Cricetulus griseus: one gene and its partners. The protein of the gene in region 2 interacts with the protein of the main gene of each other region in a biochemical or structural test. Links are inferred from orthologs where the notes say so. Each region holds a gene or a part of one and is shown on either strand. Other genes may lie near its edges.

Region 1 (6,057 bases), on a different chromosome or scaffold from region 2:
CAGCTACCTCCACTCTTGGAGTGTCAGTTTCCGGTTCTGAGAACCATGTGATAAGGTAACACATTGGCTCTGGGGTTCTGTGCTGGATGGATCTGGGTATGAGGACAGTTGGGGTGGGCTGTCCTCGCTGGGTCAGAGGGCTTTACGGGAGGAGTAGCTCCCGTGTGCCTGCAGTAGAATACACCAGGGAGGGAGTCTCATCTTTGGGCTCACCCCTAGTCTCATCTTTGGACTCATCACATGCCTGACTGGAGTCTTGGGTGTGGGACTGGGTGTGGAGATCAGCCGCCGCCTTCGCCGCTTCAATCCTCGGGCTGACCCACTGGTCTGTGCTGCTGGCCTCCTGGGCTCCGCGCCTTTCCTCTTCCTGTCCCTGGCCTGTGCCCGAGGTAGCATCGTGGCCACCTACGTGAGTGAGATTCCAGGGGTCTAGTGGGTATTTTTGCATGGGGACAGGAGGGTGGTATGGCCTTCCTGGGTACCACCATGTCCACTGAAGATGGCTGCCAGCAGCTAACTCCATGTGCAGGGTCAGCCAGCAGAGTAGTTCAGGGCAGACTGAAGGTGGAATGCCTCCTTTCAAATCTCAGCCCTGGGCCTTCCCAGCTGGGTGCCACTGGCAAAGCAGCATGACCCCTCTGTTTCCTCTGGTGTAAAGTGGTACTGAGGCTAGCGCCTGCCTTACAGGATATGATGGGGACTAAGTGAGCTAATAAGCCTGGTCATGTGATTCCCTCCCTCTTCCGCCATCCAGATTTTTATCTTTATTGGGGAGACCCTGTTGTCCATGAACTGGGCCATCGTGGCTGACATCCTACTGGTGAGTAGCTGGGTAGAGGCTGAAGGGAGCAGGGCTATCAGGATCAGGAGATGACACTTGATCTGAATCCTGGCCTTTCCCCTTCAAACTTCTGCCACATGTGTACTTCAGAGACCAGCCACGGAGGGGACTCTGGGCCTGCCTTGGGCCCACATTGGGCTTTGGCCTTGTTTTCTCTGGGACCCCTACTGAATCTCCCCTTCCCCCCAGTATGTGGTGATCCCAACTCGACGCTCCACTGCTGAGGCCTTCCAGATCGTGCTGTCCCATTTGCTAGGTGATGCTGGGAGCCCTTACCTCATTGGTCTAGTGAGTACTGTCCCGTGATTGGGCTGGGATGGTATCGGGACCTGGTACTCCCTACTCTGGCAGATGGCTGGTGGATGGGATAGTCTGACCTACTGAGGCAATAGCCACCTGTGGCTCTTTCACCCTTAGCGCCTCTGGTGGTTGGGAAGGAAGCTGGGTAAAGGTTTTACCTGTGGGGCTGTGGGTCTCACCCTGTGATTCAAACCATTCCTCTTTCTAGGCTCCATTTTTCATTTTCTTGGTGTTCAGGCCTCTCCGTCCCTGGGTCTCTGACTCTTTTTGTCCTAGCAGATTTCTGACCGCCTCCGACGGAGCTGGCCTGCTTCCTTCTTGTCTGAGTTCCGGGCCCTGCAGTTCTCGCTCATGCTCTGCGCTTTTGTTGGTGCACTGGGTGGTGCGGCCTTCCTGGGCACTGCCATGTTCATTGAGGATGACCGCCGACGGGCTCAACTCCACATGCAGGGTCAGTGAGGGCCACTGTCACCCCATATTCACAGTATCACCTGTCAGTCTGTCCATCTGTTGGCTCACAGGTATGCGCCCCACATCTCTTAGTCCACAGCTGTCCCATCCACCCAGGCCCATGCTGCCAGCCACCTGCCAGGGTTGATAGTACCAGCTTCCCAGTACCATCCCACTCAGCTTTCAGTCTGTCTTAAAGTGTATCATCAGGCTTTCTGTCTATACACAGTTCTGAGGACTCTTGCTGCTGTCTCGTCTATGCCCCTCTGCCTGTTTGTCTCCTGTCCCCTTGATGGCTTTTATGTGACTGGCCTTGGCTCCGACCCCTTCCCCACAGGTCTGTTGCATGAGACAGGACCCTCAGATGACCGGATTGTGGTGCCTCAGCGAGGCCGTTCTACCCGGGTCCCTGTGTCCAGCGTGCTCATCTGAGGAGCTGTTGCTCACCCAGCCACAGGTTCACCACAGCTGGCCCTGGGCCCACCCTGGGAGGTGCCCAGGCAGAAGCCATCACCAGGTCCAGGTCCAAGGAAGAAGCCCTGGGATATGTCCCAGCTCCCAAACACTACATGGGCAGCCCAGGGAAGAGATGGGGTTCCAGAAGTGGGGGTTGTCCTGTCTATTAGGGCAGCCCAAGGGGTTTGGTGCTATTTGTAATGGAATAAAATTTGTAAGCAGACTATGACTGGCTGCTTGTCTCTCTGCGGGTGCCATTGGCTTCAGGGAATGTCTGTGGTCTCAGGACTTACTTACCAGGGGCAGTCGGGTCACCCTGTGGGTAAGTCCCTGTCTTCTGCGCTTGGGCCATCTAGAAGGAGGACTGCTCTTTTCTGAGTGAGTTGGTTCGGTGTGACCGTGAGTCACTGTGGTCCCCTGGAAGTTGTTCTCCCAGAAGCAAGCCTGGGAGGTGGAGGCAGTGCTGCCCTTGTTCCACACAGTCCCTGGCAGAACCTCATTAGAGTTCTTGTGCTCAGAGATGGGGAGGCCACAGCTGGCCTGGTTGGCATGTGTCTGCCTTCCTAGTGGAGCAGTTGCCTCATCCTGCAGCCTCAGACCTTTCCTTCACAAGGTCCCTCTGCCTCCTCCCCCTTCCCACAGCTGGGTGGGGGTGAGTGGGCAGGGGGCAGGCGCAGCCGGCTGAGGAGCCTGATGATTTCCTGCCCTCACCACAGCTTCCTGTCGCACGCGGGTGGTGAGGAGGAGAGGCAGGCAAGCGGGGAGCAAGAAAGGGGCAGGTACAGCTGGGCACAGGGATCGTGCTGCTGGTAGCTGGGGCACAGGCCCCAGCTCAGGCTTTAGGACTAGCCTCTTCCAGCACTGAGCTCAACTCAGTCTAGCAAGGAAGTGGGGGTCATTGAACCCCAAAGGAGGACACAGCTGCTTGCCACTGGATCCCAGGCTGGGGCCCACTCAGTCCCACACCCCTGCTGCCACTCTGCCTAGAGGGGCTGCAGTGCAGCAGGGCCTGGGCCAGGTGCTCTGCAGATGGAAGCAGACACTCTGAGCCCCATGGGGCTGGGCCTCCTGCTGCTGCCTGTCCTGGTCACGCTCCTGGCTGCCCTGTGTGTGCGCTGCCGTGAGCTGCCAGGTAAGTGGGGAGCTGTGGAGTACTAGATGCTAGGCACACCATTGGATCCCCATGCCTTCCCCAGCCCCCGGCTTCCTCTAATTGTCCATACTTCAGTCCTGCCTGGGGGGGACGGGACGGGACGGGACGGGACGGGACGGGATGGGACTGTCTTTGCTCCCAGTGCATTCTGATCCTGCCTCATTGGCTCTCTCTCTTCCAGTCTCCTATGACAGTGCTTCCACAGAGAGGTGAGTGTGCAGTCCCATTTCCCTGTGTGTCTTCCCTTTGTTCTGATGAAGGGCTTGGGGCTGGGGCCCTCTTGGCCCTGTACCTAAGCTGCCTCTTTCCTGCCAGTTTTTATCCACGGAGCATCCTCATCAAACCATCTCGTGAGTTCAGTGTCCTTGGCCTTCTTTGAGGGTTCTTGGGAGTGTGCCTTTGTCCCGCTAAGATGCCTGCAGGACTATTGCCTGGGTTGGGGGAAAGTTGGAGCCCCCATGCCTGTTTAGCACATGTTTTTTAGGGGTACATCTGTCCTTAGAGGCCTTGTCACCCGCAGGGGGGTTGTCTGGAGTAATTCCCTCAAGCTTGGTTCTATGTCCTCAGAAACAGGCTTCCCCCGAACAACTGCCACTTCCTATCCTCTTGTTACTTCCTTCCCACCCCTGAGGCAGCCAGACCTGCTCCCCATTCCGTGAGTACCCCTCAGCTCCCTCCCTCTGATCCATTGTGCCTCCTTACCTTTTAGGATGGGGGGGTGGCTTTTTCCCTGTTGTAACCCCTCTTGCCCCCAGATTCCTACTTAGACCTGGTCCCTGACCCTTGACTTCCAGGAGATCCCCACAGCCCCTTGGAGGTTCCCATCAGATGCCGTCTTCCCGGCAGGATTCGGATGATGGTAAGGGCGTACAGGGCTGGAGGGCTGGGGAGAGGGTGTGCAGCCTCAGCTGACTCCATCTTCCTCTCCCTCTCTCTTTGAAGCCAACAGTGTGGCGAGCTACGAGAACCAGGGTGGGTCTAGGGTCTGGGGTACTGGGTGGGGTGGGGAGGCTGGGTCTATCCCAGGTCACGTTGACTTCTCTCTCATTCCTCATAGAGCCAGCCTGTGAGAATGCGGCTGAAGATGAAGATGAGGATGACTACCCCAATGAGGGCTACCTGTGAGTGGGGGGTGGGAGGTGGGAGTGGAAGTTGGTGCCCTTTCTTACCTCCTCATCCCTTCCTTCCAGAGAGGTGCTTCCTGACAGCACCCCTGCCGCCATTCCTGTCGTCTCCTCTGCTCCCGTGCCCAGCAACCCTGGTCTCCGAGACAGCGCCTTCTCCAGTGAGTTAGGGTCTCTGACTACCTCCTTCCGCCATGTGCCGCCGGCTATGCCTCTCTTCCCTCTCATTTCTGCGATCGCCACCCTTCCATTTCCTCCCTCAGATCTTGGACTTCCTGCTCCTCACTTCTGATCACCTTGCTTTTCCTTTTGCCTTCCCTCCCTCTTTGTCTTATCATTTTATCTGTTGTCTAAGAAATTCCCTGACTCTTCTTTAACCTTTCCACTGAAATCGTATTTCTCAGCTGGATGTGTAGGCATGCGCCTTTAACCCTGGCACGAGGGATCTAGGTAGGAGGGTTGGCTTTGAGGCTAGCCTGGACAATACAGTGAGACCCTGTCTCAAAAACCAAAACAGCACTACCACAAACAAAAAGAAAAGAAAAATTCTTTTCTTTTGTCGGAAAACTCTTTTTTGGGGAGGGAGAGGGACGATTCTTGGTGTTCTTTTTTATTTATTTATTTATTTATTTTTGGTTTTTCGAGACAGGGTTTCCCTGTGGCTTTGGAGGCTGTCCTGGAACTAGCTCTTGTAGACCAGGCTGGTCGCGAACTCACAGTGATCCACCTGCCTCTGCCTCCCGAGTGCTGGGATTAAAGGCGTGCGCCACCACTGCCCAGCTTGGTGTCCTTTTTATTAAGTACCCTGTTCTTGTTTCATGGAAGTGATATCGTCTAATGTATCTGTAAGGTCTTTGGTTGGAGGTTGTTTCTCTCTCTGTCTCTGTAGGCCTGTCTCTCACTCACTCACACTCTCTCACTGAAGCTCCTTCTGCTTTACCATGTGGTCTTTGTTTCTCTTGGGCTGCATTTTTTGCTTTGGTCTCTTTTCCTTCTTGCTTTTTTTTTCCTGGACTTTCCCTAGGGTTTGGTGATCTTCAGTTTTCTACCTCTTCTCTCTGTATATCACAGCTGTCCCTTACCTGAAACACATACACACAGATTTGGGGATATTTATAGACATACAATGAATTCTGTTGTGGGTAGAACTCAAGGTTAAACATGGAATTAATTCATTTATTTTTATATATACCATATATATTTATATACACACTCTATGTGTGTATATATAGTCTGAAAGTAGGATTTTGTTCTGTTTTGTTTTTTTTGAGGCAAGGTCTCACTATATAACCCTGGCTGTCCTGGCACTCGCTCTGGAGACCAGGCTGACCTTGAACTCACAGAGCTCTGCTTGCCTCTGCCTCCCGAGTGCTGGGATTAAAGGCCACCATGCTCAGCCCTGGAGGAAGTTTATGCAAAATTTAATTAATGTTTTGCATGAAACCAAAATTTCATGATGTGGAATTTTCCACTTGTTACCTCTCACCAGTACTTAGAAGGTTTGGGATTTTGGAATATTCTCAATTTTAGAGTTTTAATTCAGGAATACCCAGCCTTCTGTATTTACCCTGGAATATTATGTCTGTACCTTGCCTATGTTTGTTTTGTGAGTTTTGTTTTGTTTGAGGCAGAATCTCACTGTGTAGCCCTGGCTGCCCTGGAGCTCACTTTGTAGACTAGTCCAGCCTTTAACTCAGAGATTCAATTCCCTCTGCCTACTGGGTGCTGGGATT
Region 2 (4,073 bases):
TGTATAGATGTCATCCGGACATCAGCCAAAGTCACCCAGGCAACCAGATAGCCAAGTGTATGGCTGAATATACCCTTGATGACCCCTGAATATACCCCTGATGACACCTGAATATACCCCTGATGACCCCTGAATATACCTCTGATGATTAGGTCCCCTGAGGACGTCTGTCTCCCAGGGGGTAGCAAACATGTCACTACTGTGGAAGAACAGGTGGCCCTGTGTATGGATGACCCACCCCATGGCTCCATGTCCACTATGGGCCATTAGTGTTCCCCTGTGAAGGGATACAAGTCTGCCCCTGGATTATCTCCTGTACACTCAGCATTGGCCTCTCTCCACCATGGTCACCATACAAGTGCAGCGGTTTGGTGGCACCCACCCATGGCTTTCTCATTCTCTGCTCCTGCTTCGTGAGGTTCTGGGTGTGCAGACCATGGCACCTGTGTTAGTAGAGGGAACCGAGAAACAGGAATCTCCCCATTGCTGTAGGGATGACGCCCTTCCTCCCCCTCCAGGCTGAGGCCCCGGAAGGAGCAGGGCACATACGCACTGTCCCTGATCTATGGGAAAACTGTGTACCACTATCTCATCAGCCAGGACAAGGCTGGCAAATTCTACATTCCTGAAGGCACCAAGTTTGACACGCTCTGGCAGGTAGGCCCGCCATGTTCCAGGGAGAGCCCTGTGGTGGGGTGCTCAGCTCCTGGGGGGCTGAGAGGGCCACACCTGACACCCGTTTCCACAGCTGGTGGAGTACCTAAAGCTGAAGGCAGACGGGCTTATTTACCGCTTGAAAGAGGCCTGCCCCAACAGCAGCGCCAGCACCGAAGGTGAGGGGGGTCAGAGGCGGGAGACGGACAAGCATGTAGGAGGCCATCTCCCGTACCCACTGTCCCTTCTGTTCCCCAACAGCTGCAGCCCCCACTCTCCCAGCTCATCCATCCACACTTCCTCAGGTGAGCCAGGGTCCCTTAGAGTTGAGACTTGGGCACTGGGTGGATGACTTCAGGGAGCTTGGGGTGGAGGGAAGATTGCTATGGAGGGGACGGTTCCTGGGGTGTCCTCAGCAGGCATGGGTCCTCCCTGGCAGACTGCTGCTGACCCTGTGACTTTTACCCTCAGAGACGAGTTGACACCCTGAACTCGGATGGATATACCCCTGAACCAGGTGAGCTGGTGGAGGTGGAGGTGGAGGTATGGGTTGGCTTATGCCCAACTGAAAGCAGGGTCCCTGGCTGGGCTGTGGGACTTAGCAAGAGATGACAAGGCTAGAGCCATTGACAGGTGCCTGTCCCATGCACAGTCATGCCTATACCCAACATGCCTGTCTGTATGTCTGTATATCTGGTGCATGCTGACACACGGGCATGGGTAAATCATGGTCTGTGGCCATGGGTCTGGTGTGGCTGAGCTTCCCTTGCCCTCTACATCCTCTGCCGCCCTCCTTTTTCTGATGTGGGAGTGCATGACTGTGTGTGTGCCCAGCGCGCCCAGCATCCTCAGGCAAGCCACGGCCGATGCCCATGGACACGAGCGTATATGAGAGTCCCTACAGTGACCCTGAGGAGCTTAAAGACAAGAAGCTCTTCCTGAAGCGTGAGAACCTCATCGTGGCTGATATTGAACTTGGCTGTGGCAACTTTGGCTCAGTGCGCCAGGGGGTCTACCGGATGCGCAAGTATGACCCACCACTTCTGCCAGGGCGGGGCCATCTGAGTCAGGAGCAATAGGAGCTGGGGCATCTGTCTCGTGGTAGCTTGCCTGAGAAGCAGACTCAAGGGTGGGATGTGACATGCTGGACCCTTATGTGGAAAGCCTGGGGACACCTGAGAGGGAGACACTGCCCTTTGCTAGGGAGGGCTTGGCTAAGTTGAAGTTATGGCAGAGAGGGTAGTCCTGGCCCCTGTGTTGACAGGCTATGGCATACATGGAGGTTCTCCCTGGGGAGGTGTCTCAGGCTGGGGGAGTCCCAGGCATCTTGGGGAGTGGATGTCCCGGCAGCAAGCCAGGGGATGTACTGTAGAACTCAGGGGACAGGAGAGGCAGGTTGGGTGCGTGCTTGCCCGGTTCACACCGGCACTGCGTGTGTGTGTGTGTGTGTGTGTGTGTGTGTGTGTGTGTGTGTGTGTGGCTGTGCCCCTGGGCAGGAAGCAGATCGACGTGGCCATCAAGGTGCTGAAGCACAGTACAGAGAAGGCTGACAAGGATGAGATGATGAGGGAAGCCCAGATCATGCACCAACTGGACAACCCCTACATCGTGCGGCTCATCGGCGTGTGCCAGGCCGAGGCACTCATGCTGGTCATGGAGATGGCAGGCGGCGGGCCCCTGCACAAGTTCCTGCTTGGAAAGAAGTGAGCCTGGGTGGTTGGCTGCTCACAGGGTGGGGGATGGAGCTGGGAGGGCACACACACGCACGCACGCACACACACACAAGCACGCACGCACGCACACACACCATGCATGCACACACACACACACACACACACACACATGCGCGCGCGCGCGCGCGCACACACACCACACACACACACACACACACACACACGCACACATGCACACGCACGCGCACACACACACACACATGCACACACACATGCGCGCGCACACACATGCACACACACACACACACACGCATGCACACACACATGCGCGCACACACACACACACACACACACACACACACACACACACACCACTTGCCTTTACTCCTTCATAGACATATGCCTGCCCAATGTGTACTCTGATGCCCACACTCATACTCCAAAGTAGGACTCCTGACTGTTTCTCCATGTGCACCATGGAGGTGATAGCAGGATCTGAGCCCAGGGCTCCTGTGAACACTGAACAAACTGATGCTTACGGAGCACTCGGCATCTGGCACTACTGACAAGAACTTTCTAGATGCCAGCCCTCTCACTGCTGCCCTGATTTTCTGTGCTGCACCCATGCCCCATGGGAAATGAGGCTGACTCCACCTTCCCCTCTGCCCCAGGGAGGAGATCCCCGTCAGCAACGTGGCTGAACTGCTGCACCAGGTAGCCATGGGCATGAAGTATCTGGAGGAGAAGAACTTTGTGCACCGTGACTTGGCAGCCCGGAATGTCCTACTGGTCAATCGGCACTATGCCAAGATCAGTGACTTTGGCCTGTCCAAGGCACTAGGTGCTGATGACAGCTATTACACGGTGAGTGCCACCTCAGTAGTGTCTAGGTGGAGGTGGTTGGTGGGCCAGAGGTCCCGGGCTCCTGTCCTAGCAGCACCTCCCTTTTTCAGGCCCGTTCCGCTGGGAAGTGGCCCCTGAAGTGGTATGCTCCAGAATGCATCAACTTCCGAAAATTCTCCAGCCGCAGTGACGTCTGGAGCTATGGGGTCACCATGTGGGAGGCTTTCTCCTATGGCCAGAAGCCCTACAAGGCAGGCTGGGCAGAGCTCAGCAGTGGTGGGCTGGGGAGGGGACCAACGTGAGGGAGCCGGGATCCTCACACTTGCCTTTTTGTCCCTGGCCTGAGCAGAAAATGAAGGGCCCTGAGGTCCTGGACTTCATCAAGCAGGGCAAGAGGATGGAATGCCCCCCAGAGTGTCCGACCGAAATGTATTCACTTATGAGCGATTGCTGGACCTACAAGTGAGTTCCAGATGGGAGCGGGTCTGGCCATTCAGTCCTGGGACTGGAGAAGAAGTCCTCATGCCCAGTCAGTGTCACCTTCACTCTATCTAGTATTCTAGATAGAGTGATCTATCTGTGGGTGCTCCCACAAAGATCCCACCTGCGTCTCAGTCTTTCTGAATTCCACCTTTACTCCATCCCCTCCATACTTAGCCCCTCCCCGCCCCAGTACAATGCAGCCACGGGCCCTGCCACCCTCGGCACACAGATCCAACAGTACTAGACCACCACAGCTGGGCTGTCACCCAGCAGGTGCTCCAGAACCGGGATGAACTTCCAGTACTCAATTCTCAGCCCCTACAAGATGACACTCAACGTCCAATGTCTCGAGGAAGCCATTCATGCAGGACCCAAGTCATTCAACTCCCATCACCCAGCCCCACCCAAGGCAGATGACAA
Region 3 (5,839 bases), on a different chromosome or scaffold from region 2:
GATCTGGAATGTTCCTTTCTCTATTTTGAGAGACTTTGACTGATTGACTGAGTGAGGTCCAGAATCTTCATCCATCCACTCCACCCCCCAAGGCTCTGCCTAGAGCCCAGTTCACCCCATGATGTCTTCTTTACTCTACTTGAAAGTAATTTGCCTCCATCATGGCTGGCTGCTGATTTGAAGAATGAAGTAATGTCTCTCACTAGTCATGGAGCTTTGGAGAAGCAGGGAAGTGGTCCATTGAGCATCATCAATTGTTGACCATTTAATGTAAGTTACCAGGGTTAATGCCTTCTGCAGATCACCATCATGGACCACTTGCCAGGGCTGGGTCTGGCACTTCATCTGTATTTCATTTAAACTCATAAACAGGTAATGAGACAGCTACTAGAGGCAGCAAGGCCTCCTGTAGTGTGTATAAAAGGGAAAGCATACATGACTAAAGCTACCCTTGAGAAACCTTCTCACATTGGAATAGAGAGCTATGCACATGTGTGAGTCTGTGCATCCCCATATTATAGGCATGTATGTGTATGTACATATGGAACACTGGCTATACTGTGTTTACAGGTTGCCATATTGTACCAATACATTTGTTTTTAGCCTCAGGTCTCACTCACTGTTAAAGACTGTTTCAGTCTATGAGATCTGTTCAGAGTCAAAAACTGAAGGAGGATGCAACAGATTCCCATCTCCTATCCTCAGAGAACACACTCTTTGGCTAGATATTTGGTAGACTCAATAGCAAATGGAAGAAACGATAGTAGACAGAATATAAAGTGAAAAAGCACAGTGTATGGAAGGCATTGTGCCACCAATAACAACAATGCTTTAACCCTTTTATTTTTACATTTGCCTAGCAAAGGCATCAAAGTGTATGTATGTGCATAAGCCCTTTGTTTTCCTGCCTTGCAGATATGGAAACTAGTTACCTACACTGTCACTGAAGGGACTCTAGTTAGTCCGAACATGACAAACATGGCTCTAGCAGGCCTTGTCCTTTCCCCCCATTGCCTCTGCCTTGCCAGAAACTGTTAGATTACATTCCTAAAGCTAGGTTCACTTCCTCCTCCTGAGGCTGACTACCATTGTCCAGCTATCAAAGTATTGAAATCAAAAGCCCCCTTTGGCTCACCTCATTAACACTCCCAATAAAATTAAACACCTCATCCTAACACAGGGTTTTCCCTTTTACCTTCATAAGCCACATTTTCCTATCGGTCAGGTCTATCTCCTCTCTATCCAGAGGCAGTCATTTGCTCCAGTCTAGGGCAAATATCCTTCCCCTCTCTCCCTTCTCCCTCATCCTCTATTTCTCATTTTTGTCTCTTATTCCCTCCTCTTTGTCCCTCTGGGGTGAGTAAATATCCTTTGTCTTGAGAACTTGGACTTGGGGTGTCCTGAGCTGGTCCCTTCAGTCACTCCATGCCCCAAGGTTACAGTACAGACACATTCATATCAGAAATGTAGATAGTCCTCTGCGTCATCACACCCTTCACCACTCAGAACCTGGCTGCCTCACTCACCAAAACCCACTCACTCATCTTAACATGGAGAAGCAGCTGAAGGTACCTCAGCTTTCAATAAAAACAAACTGGTGGGGAAGGAAGCTGGAGAACATGAAGAGAACATCTTCCTTCCCCCACAGTTCACTAGAGGATGATATTATAGACAATTTTAGGGAACTTTCAAAAGAGACTCTTATCTGTGTAGACCCAGTCATGCGGGAGTGTGGTGTCAAGCTTTGGGTGTCTAGAATTCTAGTGGAAAAAAACTATTAGAACTGGGTTTAAGTCCCCACTTGGTTAGAGTGTCTGGACTACTAGGGAATTATCTCTCTCTCTCTCTCTCTCTCTCTCTCTCTCTCTCTCTCTCTCTCTCTTTCTCTGCATTAAGAGAGCTGGCCAGAGCTGGCCTTCCTTGTTTACTTATTTAGAAGTCAGCAGAGGAAGTGGTAAAGGAAACTAGCTGAGCCGTTTTCTGAGAAGAGACCATATTTGTTCACAGGGGAAGCCGCTGCTTCTTGGGATCTGGTTACAGCAGAAACGGTGCCTGTTCAACAAGGGTGTTCCTGAGTGAAGTTGGGATTTGGAAGAGCTAAGGACACCTCAGTGCTCTGGGTCTCTGTTCATGGCTGCAGCAGCTCTCCCCAGCCTGTGAGCTCCCCGAACAGCAGCCATGGCCTTGAAGAATGTGCCCTTTCGCTCAGAGGTCTTAGCCTGGAACCCGGACAGCCTCGCTGATTATTTCAGGAAGGTGAGTCCTTCACTCTTGTGCTTCTGGTTGGGCTCATATGCCTTCAGCAGGGTGGGCAGAGTGGAAGCAGAATCTGGATGGAATATGGAAGGTGTACAAGATAGCTGCAGAGTTACCACCTGCAATTGCTACCTTCCTGGGAGGCAGATTACTAAGTTTATGGGCAGTGTGTCCTGTAGAGAAAGATAGGGAGAGGGCCCTCCAGTGCATAAGCCCCTACTACACACAGGTGTGCATCCAGTGCTCCACAGACTGTCCTTTAAGACACAGTCCAATATAATGTGAGTTCAGTGTTAACATATTAATGTTATGCACTGACAGTGTTGCATCTCAAGATCACTATTTCATTCAACTGAAGTCAGCTTTTGAGTTTAAGTGGTCCAAAGCTCTTGAGTATTACTGGATCAGGTTGGATTGAAATCGTGCCTATTTAGCTTTATAGCACATGCTCTGAAATGCAGGGAATGGTTATGGTGAAGTCTACTTACTAGAAAAGGAGATATGTACTTCTGGGGTAGGAGGGATGGACAAGCAGGGCAAGAGGGGTGGACAGATGGCTAGATGAACAATGGTATTTGGGCATCCATTGTCCATGATCTTGTAAGAGGGCAAGAGTCTCTTTATTTGCTGGAGTCTCACCAGAGCTTTACGAGAATCCTTGAAAGCAGGCCAGAAAAGCAGACATGAGCCCCAGGATAGTTAGGGACACAACAGACAAGCTCAGCAGACTTACAAGTCAAGCTGGACCACAGTGTCCTGCTTCTAGGCTAGGAGGAGATAGTCGAGGGTCCTTGTTCAGTTATCTGCTAATGAGGACCACATATCTGCTTAGGCATATCCTAAGACACCCGACTCCTCTAAGGCACCCATGCAGAAAAGATAAGGGGTCTTATGAAAACAGGAGCTTCTATTGTCCCCATTTCTGCAGGCTGGTCTCACATTCCACTGATATTCCAGGCAGTAATGAAGATGAGGTCCTAAAGCTAAAACCATACAAGTCGTCTACTTTGCCTTCTATTTTTTTCTGAAGAAATGGAGATCCAAGGGGTAGAAAAGTCTCTTTGGGTTGTATAATCAAACCTGTAATATACACATTGGTGCCTTCCCAACCTACAGAAGTCTGTACTGGACGAGACATGGTAGGAGACTGCCCCACAGATCCTGGTATTTGCCACTTTTTTGTAAATCTTATTTTTGTTACTTTCTCCCCATAGGGTCATTATAAACTTCTCTTTCAACACAGTGGGTGGAAATATGATGAGACAATTGACTTTTTAAGTATGTTTTAAAGTTACTTTTCTTAACTAAAAATGAAGTAAGTTAGGGCAGAAAGGTAAATTTGCCATGGTGGAGTGAAGCAGTGAATTGTTTCAATAGATCAGTGAGAATGGAATTGAGAGTTAAGGCAGGGAAGTCTGGGGAGGGACCAAGAGGCATAGAAAGGCCCCACATTCAAGTGTAACTAGGATATTATGTAATCCCATGGTGCTACAGATAATGTGTGGGTCAAGTTCCCTTTAGCACAGGCCAAGCAGACACCACTCTGCTTGAGCTAAGAGATGAGGAGGTTTCTTCTTGTTGATCATGGACCTTAGTAAGAGCTATATTCCAGGGACAGGTCTCACCTTCTGGAGGGAAAGACTCAAGGGTAGGAACAAGGAACCTGGGGGTGGGGGGAGGGATTGATGATCCTAGAAGGACCAGCCCCCTGCCACAAACACAGATGAGACTCCGGACCCTGAGCTCATTGGTCCCCAAGAAGATACTCTGTGAAATGAACACAGAGCCACTTAAGGATGCTCTTGGATGTCAGTGTGCCATTTAAAGAATTGACCAGCAAGTGTAATGTCTACATAACATGTTGGGTTGGGCCGCTGAGACTTCTACCCAGCTCTGGAGTCAGATACACCTTAGTTTGAATTGTGCCCTTCCCATCTAGCTTGGGGATTTATTTTTCTTTAATTTCTTTGCTTCTCTTAACCTCAACTTACATAAAATAGAGGTATTAGCAGTAACTAACCAGATGAGATGGAGGTGAGGTTGAAAGGAGATGTGTGTGAGGCATTGAGTTCCATGTTCTACCCCCTTATCCCGATCTTCTAATCAGAATCTGACTGGGAAGGCTGAGACAGGCTGGTGAGGCTTTGTGTTCCTTTTGCCTCAGATACGTGTGTCTTGCCCTGTACTGGGGATGAAAATCAAGATTAAGGCCACAGTCTGCATGTCCCTAATGCCTCCAAGTGGCTTAGGCCTAGCAGGAGAGCAGTCTAGTCCTGGGCTATGTAGTCTAGTCACTGGCTCATAAGCATGTGTTCTAACTCTGTTGGGTTTATGCCTCACTGTATGACCTTAAGCCAGATCCTTCTCTCTCTGGGCCCCAGTTCCTGTCACCTACAAAGCTGAATAACTACTTGGTTAGGGCTAAGATTGGTAACTTAGGTGCTAGTGAGAATTACTTAGGGTGCTTGTTGAAATACAGATTTTAGGTCCAAGACTCAGATCTTGCTGAATTGCATCAACTGACTAGGTTCAAGGCTAGAGCTCTAGCTTTGGTTTAGAGTCAAAACTGGTACTCTGTAGAAATGGCAATCCATCTGATAGTGATGGCAGTGAAATGAATTAAAGGAAGCTGACAATTCCAAAAGCCCACTACACACTGTGCATGTGGGTCAAGGAGACAGCACCATGCTACAGATGCTGCCTGCCCTCGACATTGACCTATAAATCAACTTCCCAAGTTGGTCTTCAGTCTGCCCTTCTAGATAGGTAGGTGACAGCAATTACATTTTAAAATTATTATTATTGTTGAGACAGGTTCTTGGAGTACAGCCCAGGCTGCTCCTGGACTGACAGCAATCCTGTCCTCCTGTCTCATTCTCCTGGGTGCTAAGACTAGAGGTGTGTGCCACCACACCCATATTTGTTTACTTTGCACATTATTTTCGGGGTGGGGGTCATAGATAAGAAATTAGTTTTAAAAGTTCCTCCAAAGAAGGTTGAACTAACTGCTTGTGAGGGCCTCAGAGAAAAATATTTCACCTTAAATCCATTAGATCTCAGTCTTGGAGCTATGTCTGGTGTGAAGTTTTGTGCTATTAAGGACAAGGCAAGGTGGGTGCACCACAGTCATAGATTAACTTTGAAAAATAGCTGACCAAAGCCTTACAAATGCTTGCTTACCTCTGTTACTTTCCATAGAAAAAGTTAGGCAAAAGAATGTCCACTGTGCAGTGTAAGCTACCAGACAGTGCATTTGGATACACCCCTGGTTATTCACTTTAGTGATGTTGCTTAAAAACTATTCCTCATGGAAACTTTAAAGGCAAGTTCTAAAGCTCAGTTGTCACCTGTGTCACCTTCCACCTATGCAAGTTCCTGAGCTCTCTGTGTCTCTTCATCTTTTACACATGAAACTGGAGGATTAAGTGACTTACAGCCGCTTTGGGGTGGGAGCAGGGCCTGCTACACGCAGAGCATCCCATCTGGTGCCAACTAGCAACTGCTGATTTCATTGCTGAGATAGTGGCCAGGGAGATGACTTGAACATTCAGTGGTTAAAAATTATGGGAATTATTTAGTAAAT
Region 4 (5,775 bases), on a different chromosome or scaffold from region 2:
AAACTGCCCAGCACACCCATCAAATTGAGATGAATGTGTGATGATGTGAAGCCACGTGGTGGTGGCACACGCCTTTAGTCCCAGGGCTCGGGAGACAGAAGCAGGTGGGTCTCTGTGAGTTCAAGACCAGCCTGGTCTACAAGAGCTAGTTCCAGCCTCCAAAGCCAGAGAGAAACCCTGTCTCGAAAACAACAACAACAAAAGAAAACTATTTGATTGGGGGTATGCAGGTGGGACAGGAGGCCCTTAAGGCCCTTGTCACCTGATGGGAGGTACTCCTCCCTGTTGTGCTGGCTATCGAATCTCAATCCATGCCTACAGCTAAGCAACATTTGAATACTGAATTACATCCCAGCCCTGGAAAGAGTTTGAATATGACCAGATGAAGACTTGGTATACTATCATAAGAAACCCTAGGTCGCTGAACGGTTGTAGCCCACATCTTTGATTCTAGCACTCAGGAGGCAGAGGCAGGTGGATCTCTGCGAGTTTGGGGCTAGTGTGTTCTACAGAGCGAGTTCCAGGACAACCGAGGCTACACTGGGAAACCCTGTCTTGAAAAACCGAAAGAAAACAGAAAGAAAGAAAGAAAAAAGGAAAGAAAGAAAGGAAGAAAGAAAGAAAGACGGGGAGAGAGAAAGAAAGGAAAGAGGGAAATCCTGGGTCAAACTTTGAGCTCCTCCTCTTCTGTCACAATGAATCACATAGATAGATCTGGAGAAAATTCACAAGTTTCCAGTTCTGAAAAGATGAGGTGACATCCCTAGCTCATGTATTCTTTTTTTTTTTTTTTTTTTTTGTGGGTTTGGGTCACGTGTTTGTGTGAATTTTGTAAATTTTCTCCAAATCTACGTATCTATGTGGTACATGGTGACAGAAGGGGAGGGGCTCAAAGTATGACCCAGCATTTCTTTCTTTCTTTTTTGGTTTTTCGAGGCCAGCCTGAGCTATATGAGACCCTGTCTCAAAAAAACAAAACGAAAAAAACAAAAGAAAGGTTTTTAGCTAGTAGCTTTCGCCCAGGGGCAAGGGACAGTAAGTTCTCCAGGCAAGATGTGGAATGCCAACCTAAGGGATGGGAAATGCAACGGGCTGGGCACCAGGAGGCGCCCGTCGGACCCGCCCGGGACCTAGCAACCCAGGGTATGCGAGGCGGGAGGTCCCGGGAGCTGTGCGGTTCCTAGGCGCCTTCTGTAGCCACCTCTCTGCGCTCCTCTTCACTGTCCCCTCCGGGTGTGAGCGCCGCGGTGGCGACGGTGGAAGAGAGGCGGGAACCACGGACAGACGGACGGCGGGACGGACGGACGGCGCGGTCGGTCGGTCGTCCCGGCGTGGACTCGGTCAGAGACAGCTGTTCTCTGCGGCGGCCGTGGGGGGCAGCAGAGGGGACCGCGACAGGTGCGGGAGCCCCTCCCAGGGCAGAAGTGGGAAGGCGGGCTCCGGGGTATGTTCCCAGGCTGGAAACCACCCCCGCCCCCCAAACAAATCCCCCCGAGAGGCCGGGCCGGCGCCGGGTCTGCGGGAGGAAGCGGCCGGAGACAGTGCAATTTCACGCGGCCTCCGGGGCTCGGGTTCCCGGGCCGGATACTTGAGTTATGGGGCTTTGCGTACCGGGGAAAGGGAGGTGGCATGGACTCTAGGCTAAAAAACAACCTCCCACTCAGAAAAGTAGAAATATTCACACTCCAAAAGAAAAGAAAAAAACAAACCCCTCAAGTGATCCAACCGGCTAGGGGAGTTGGGTGATTTGGTTAATGGGCGAGGCCAGCTTTCAGGGGGCTGGGCTTTGGCGCTCTCCCCACCCGCATCCACTACCTTTCCCCGGCCCGGGGACATTTGGGTTCTTGATGTCTTCTTAGCCATCTCCGGGGGAAATTGCTAGAGTGAGACCCCTCCTTGACCCTCTTGGCCAAGCTGCGGGCTGGCGGGGCGCGCTCCGGGCGGGTGTCCCAGGCTGCAGCCACCGGCGACTCCAGCCTCGCACAGGAGGGGGCGCGGCCGTGACTCACACCCCCTTCCCCCTTCCCCTCCCTCCGTCCCTCCTTCCCAGACAGACACCCTCCTCTGCCGTCCCGCTCGGGACTCCGACTCCGGCTCCTGCTGCAGTTTGCAATCTCCGATTGCCGCCACCACCTATGCGCCGGGCTGCTCAGGTGGCTGTCGCTTCGATGTCCTAACCCAGGGGCCCCCGGGCCAGACTCGGCTGGGCTCCCTTCACCCTCCGCTGCAATCATGAGGGCGATTGGGACTCTGCAGGTGCTGGGCTTCCTTCTCAGCCTGACCCGGGGTTCCGAGATGGGCAACTCTCAGGCAGGTAAGCGGCGCGGGGAGCCTCAGCCGGCTGGAAGCGGAGAGCGAGCGCGACCTGAGCGCGCGCAGACCCTGGGCAAGGGGTTCGGGTTCTGGCGCGCTCAACTGCGGGGTGCGACCCCGAGTCTACCGGGACCACCTTGGAGGGGAGCGTGTGGCTTGATTCTCGGAGTGGGCTGGGCAGGGACTGCATTCCTGGATGCCTTCTCCCCTTCTCCCCCGGGGCGTCGCTGACCCTCTGATTGGTGTTTTTCTGATCAGGTTGATGTGGACAGCATCTGAGGGCCTTGCAGAGAGGGCGGGCAGGGACCCTTCTGCAAACCCGAGGAGCCTTGACTTGAAGGGTCTCGGTTTGCTCTCTGGCTCCCTGGTCCCCACCCCACCCGCCCCAGGTTTCAGCAACCCCCAGTTTCGTTGTTTTGCCGGCAGGGCGGAGCTATGCAAGGGTTGAAGTTGTTGTTTTCTGATGTTGGAAAAACAAGAATGGCACCTCCTCTTCCGTGAGTGGGGCTGCCTTGAGAAGGCTGAGATTAACCTGAGGGCCAAGTCCAGGTGACTTCAGAGTGAGAGGCCTCACGGAGGCTGGCTGGCTGCCTTCCCACAAGATAAGCTGGTCCCCAACTTAGCCAGTTTCTCTTTACCGAGGCCGGGTCAATTCAATTAACATGTGGAGCATCTACTATGTACTGTACTATTTCCTGAGCTGCAGGTGTGGGGGAAAGGACAGTTAGCCCTAGTTCTCTCTCTCCTACCTTCTGAACATCCTATTCCGTGAACTCGCTCCTAGACCCAACTTCTTCCCTTCCCCCATTCAGTTGTCTAACTTCAGACAGAGGCTAGATTTTACTTCTCTATACCCCCATTCCACGCCGTCTGAGCCCATTCCTCTGGCTGTCTCTGGGACTAGGGGCACCTGGAGAGTTCTGGGGCTGGTGTACTTCGAGTCCCGTTGATCTCGCTTCACGCCCACCCCATCTCATCTTGGGGTACAGCCAGGGCCCCTTCCCCAGAGTGGGAGTGGGAGAAACCACCTGTGCTTCCCCCACAGTTGCTGGGCCTAAATTTAGCCCCTGGGATCTTGAGGCGTGAACACTCCCAGCTGGTGGAGGGGGTGGTCTGGAGACTGGAGGGGGAGGTGCCAGGGGAGTGACCGGATCACTCTTCCATCTGATTGTGTGCTCTCTCCCCCTCTGTCCCCCCCAACCAGGAACCCAGGAGTCCGGGATTCCCACCACCCTCCCCGAGAAGCAGGGAGCAGGCATGGTTGAGTCTCTCTCTACCCTTTATCTCTATCCTGCAGCCTCTGGGCATCCGGCCCTGTCTCAAGCCTTGTATAGCCCCTTTGTCCCCTTGTGTGTGTGGCTGGGGCAGTGGAGGGGAGACTTCTGAGGGGCTGCATGTTCTTGCTCTGTCCAACCCCAGTCTGTGCTCTACATATAAGAAGGGCTCTGACATCGCTCCTCTTTGAGCTTAGGTCCCACCAACAGGCAGTTCTTGCTGCTTCCTTGCCGCCGGTCCCCAAGTTGCCTGGCTCCTCCTGGGTAGTTGTTTATACTCCCGTCCTGCCCAGGCCCTTTGCCCCTGTTTGTGAAATATGGACTTTGCCCTCAGGGTGGCAGGTAACCGAGACCTGTAAGGCCCTTGCAAAGCATAAGACGCAAGGTGTACAAGGTACTGTGGGCAGATGGGATGCGCTGGCCACTTGTGATACGTCTCAATACAGACTCCAGGCAGGGCCAGAGCGATATATGTTTCTGAGCCGGGGAACTGTGTACATGTTGGTGCACCAGTTGTGCACGGTGTGGCAGTGCTCAACACACGTACACACCACTTCCCTATACAGAGATCCTAGCTCCTCCCTTATCTGGGAGAAGGGTTGGCAGAGGGGTGTCCTGCCAGGAAGGGGACAGGGGTGGGGCAGTTTCAGAAATGACTAACCTTCCTAGTCTTTCACTTCAGCCCGAGGACCCTGGGGTTCCCAGGTGCCTCTGGGAGCCTCCAGGCTGTTCATGCCTCCTTGCTGGGAATAGCTCACTCTTTCTGTTATGGAGACTGATAGGGAAGAGGGCTTTATTTATTTATTTATTTATTTATTTATTTATCGGTTTTCCGAGACAGGGTTTCTTTGTTTAGCTTTGGAGTCTATCCTGGCACTCGCTCTGTAGACCAGGCTGACCACGAACTCACAGAGATCAGCCTGCCTCCTCCCAAGTGCTGGCCTAGGGATAAGGATCTTAAAGAAGGGGCCAGACCAGAGGTGTATGTAGCAGGAGGAGCTGGGGCCTCTGCTCTCTCTCCCACTGTTATGCTCTTGCCCTGCCTCAGGGAAGGGTGGTGAAAGCAGGTGGTTCGCACCCCTACCTCTACCCTCCCCATATGCTCTTCCTCTGTGTCAGAGGAAAGATCCATAGAGCACCAAGGACCAAGACTTCCCTTTTTACAAAGGAAAGTGAAAGCCTGAGACTGGAGTGTACTGGCCACTCTTCTGGCTCTCCCCTGGAGCCATCTCTCCTGCTGAGGAGCATTGCCACTGTTAGAAGTCTTTAATGAATCCTGCTGACAGTGAAATTGGGAAGAAGGCTTCAGAGGGTGTGAAGGGTCTGTTCTGTTTCTCTCCGGGGCTGGAGAGGTGCTGGGGGAGCTGGAGCATGTTGGCTTAGGGGAAGGGAGTAGAAGAGAAGCCAGAATTCAGGAAAGGGGAGGTCGCCAGCTCCTTATCCAGCTTTGGAGACAAAGCTCCCATTGACCCCCACCCTACTACCAGGGCTTGTCCCTGAAGTGAGGTCACTTGTCTGAGCCCAAAGCTCCGGGGTAAGAGGGGGGTGCTGCTGAGGATGGGGTGTCTGGGATAGGGTGGGGCAGCCCCCTCCTCCTGGATAGAATCGACTCATTGTGGGCTGAACTGTGTGGCCCCAGGCACTGCCCCCATCCCACCCTCTGTAGACACAATAGGGGCTGTGTGCTAGCCCCAAAGAGATGTTTATTCCAGGGCCTTAGAGAGAGGCAGGATGGGGGCAGAGAAGTAAGTGCCTTAGTTGACGAGGAGAGGAGAGGGCAATCAAAGTTTGATCCCTGCCTAATGTGTCCTTTCCAGGGAGAGGAAAAGTCCCCTGATGTCTTCCTTCTGTATTAACCCCTCAGTGCCCAAATTAGTCCCTGAAAGAGGTCCATTGGGGACCCTGGTGAGGAAAAGCACACATTTCACCTTTCTGTTTGGAATGGCCAGGGGATCGTGGAAGTGAGGAGACCCCAGCCTTGGAGTTCTAGTGGGCAGGGTCAGAGGCAACCGAATGTAACTGAGGGCAACTGAGGGGTTTATATAGAGGGGACATCTAGCTTACCTGACTGCCCCACCTCCATTTTTACAGTGTGTCCTGGGACTCTGAATGGGCTGAGTGTGACTGGCGATGCCGAGAATCAATACCAGACGCTGTACAAGCTCTACGAGAGGTGTGAGGTGGTGAT

Evidence for each region.
Region 1: of the proteins of tyrosine-protein kinase ZAP-70 (region 2) and Lat, one has a biochemical effect on the other in vitro, tested with the Homo sapiens proteins (2 studies listed by BioGRID). The link is inferred for Cricetulus griseus from reciprocal best matches to the Homo sapiens genes ZAP70 and LAT.
Region 3: of the proteins of tyrosine-protein kinase ZAP-70 (region 2) and Lcp2, one has a biochemical effect on the other in vitro, tested with the Homo sapiens proteins (2 studies listed by BioGRID). The link is inferred for Cricetulus griseus from reciprocal best matches to the Homo sapiens genes ZAP70 and LCP2.
Region 4: the proteins of tyrosine-protein kinase ZAP-70 (region 2) and Erbb3 form a complex in vitro, tested with the Homo sapiens proteins (2 studies listed by BioGRID and IntAct, with this or other methods). The link is inferred for Cricetulus griseus from reciprocal best matches to the Homo sapiens genes ZAP70 and ERBB3.

What each region holds. Positions count from the first base shown.
Region 1 is NC_048596.1:74,436,901-74,442,957, forward strand, and holds the start of Lat (linker for activation of T-cells family member 1), read left to right. Parts: upstream 1-2,396; 5' UTR 2,397-3,076; coding exon 3,077-3,179; intron 3,180-3,381; coding exon 3,382-3,409; coding exon of another isoform or gene 3,410-3,515; coding exon 3,516-3,550; intron 3,551-3,767; coding exon 3,768-3,855; intron 3,856-3,994; coding exon 3,995-4,059; intron 4,060-4,142; coding exon 4,143-4,172; intron 4,173-4,257; coding exon 4,258-4,321; intron 4,322-4,390; coding exon 4,391-4,485; intron 4,486-6,057. Other genes in the region: Spns1 (protein spinster homolog 1), read left to right, coding at 220-409, 755-820, 1,031-1,129, 1,421-1,592, 1,929-2,023. UniProt on the Homo sapiens protein: Required for TCR (T-cell antigen receptor)- and pre-TCR-mediated signaling, both in mature T-cells and during their development.
Region 2 is NW_023276807.1:11,427,958-11,432,030, reverse strand, and holds part of tyrosine-protein kinase ZAP-70, read left to right. Parts: intron 1-518; coding exon 519-657; intron 658-748; coding exon 749-842; intron 843-915; coding exon 916-957; coding exon of another isoform or gene 958-959; intron 960-1,117; coding exon 1,118-1,171; intron 1,172-1,488; coding exon 1,489-1,681; intron 1,682-2,150; coding exon 2,151-2,357; intron 2,358-2,998; coding exon 2,999-3,191; intron 3,192-3,280; coding exon 3,281-3,421; intron 3,422-3,519; coding exon 3,520-3,632; intron 3,633-4,073. UniProt on the Homo sapiens protein: Tyrosine kinase that plays an essential role in regulation of the adaptive immune response. Regulates motility, adhesion and cytokine expression of mature T-cells, as well as thymocyte development.
Region 3 is NC_048600.1:49,225,320-49,231,158, forward strand, and holds the start of Lcp2 (lymphocyte cytosolic protein 2), read left to right. Parts: upstream 1-2,178; coding exon 2,179-2,256; intron 2,257-5,839. UniProt on the Homo sapiens protein: Adapter protein primarily involved in signaling pathways within T-cells, as well as other immune cells such as platelets, mast cells, and natural killer (NK) cells.
Region 4 is NW_023276806.1:129,315,059-129,320,833, forward strand, and holds the start of Erbb3 (receptor tyrosine-protein kinase erbB-3), read left to right. Parts: upstream 1-2,114; 5' UTR 2,115-2,232; coding exon 2,233-2,422; intron 2,423-3,921; coding exon 3,922-3,981; intron 3,982-5,633; coding exon 5,634-5,775. UniProt on the Homo sapiens protein: Tyrosine-protein kinase that plays an essential role as cell surface receptor for neuregulins.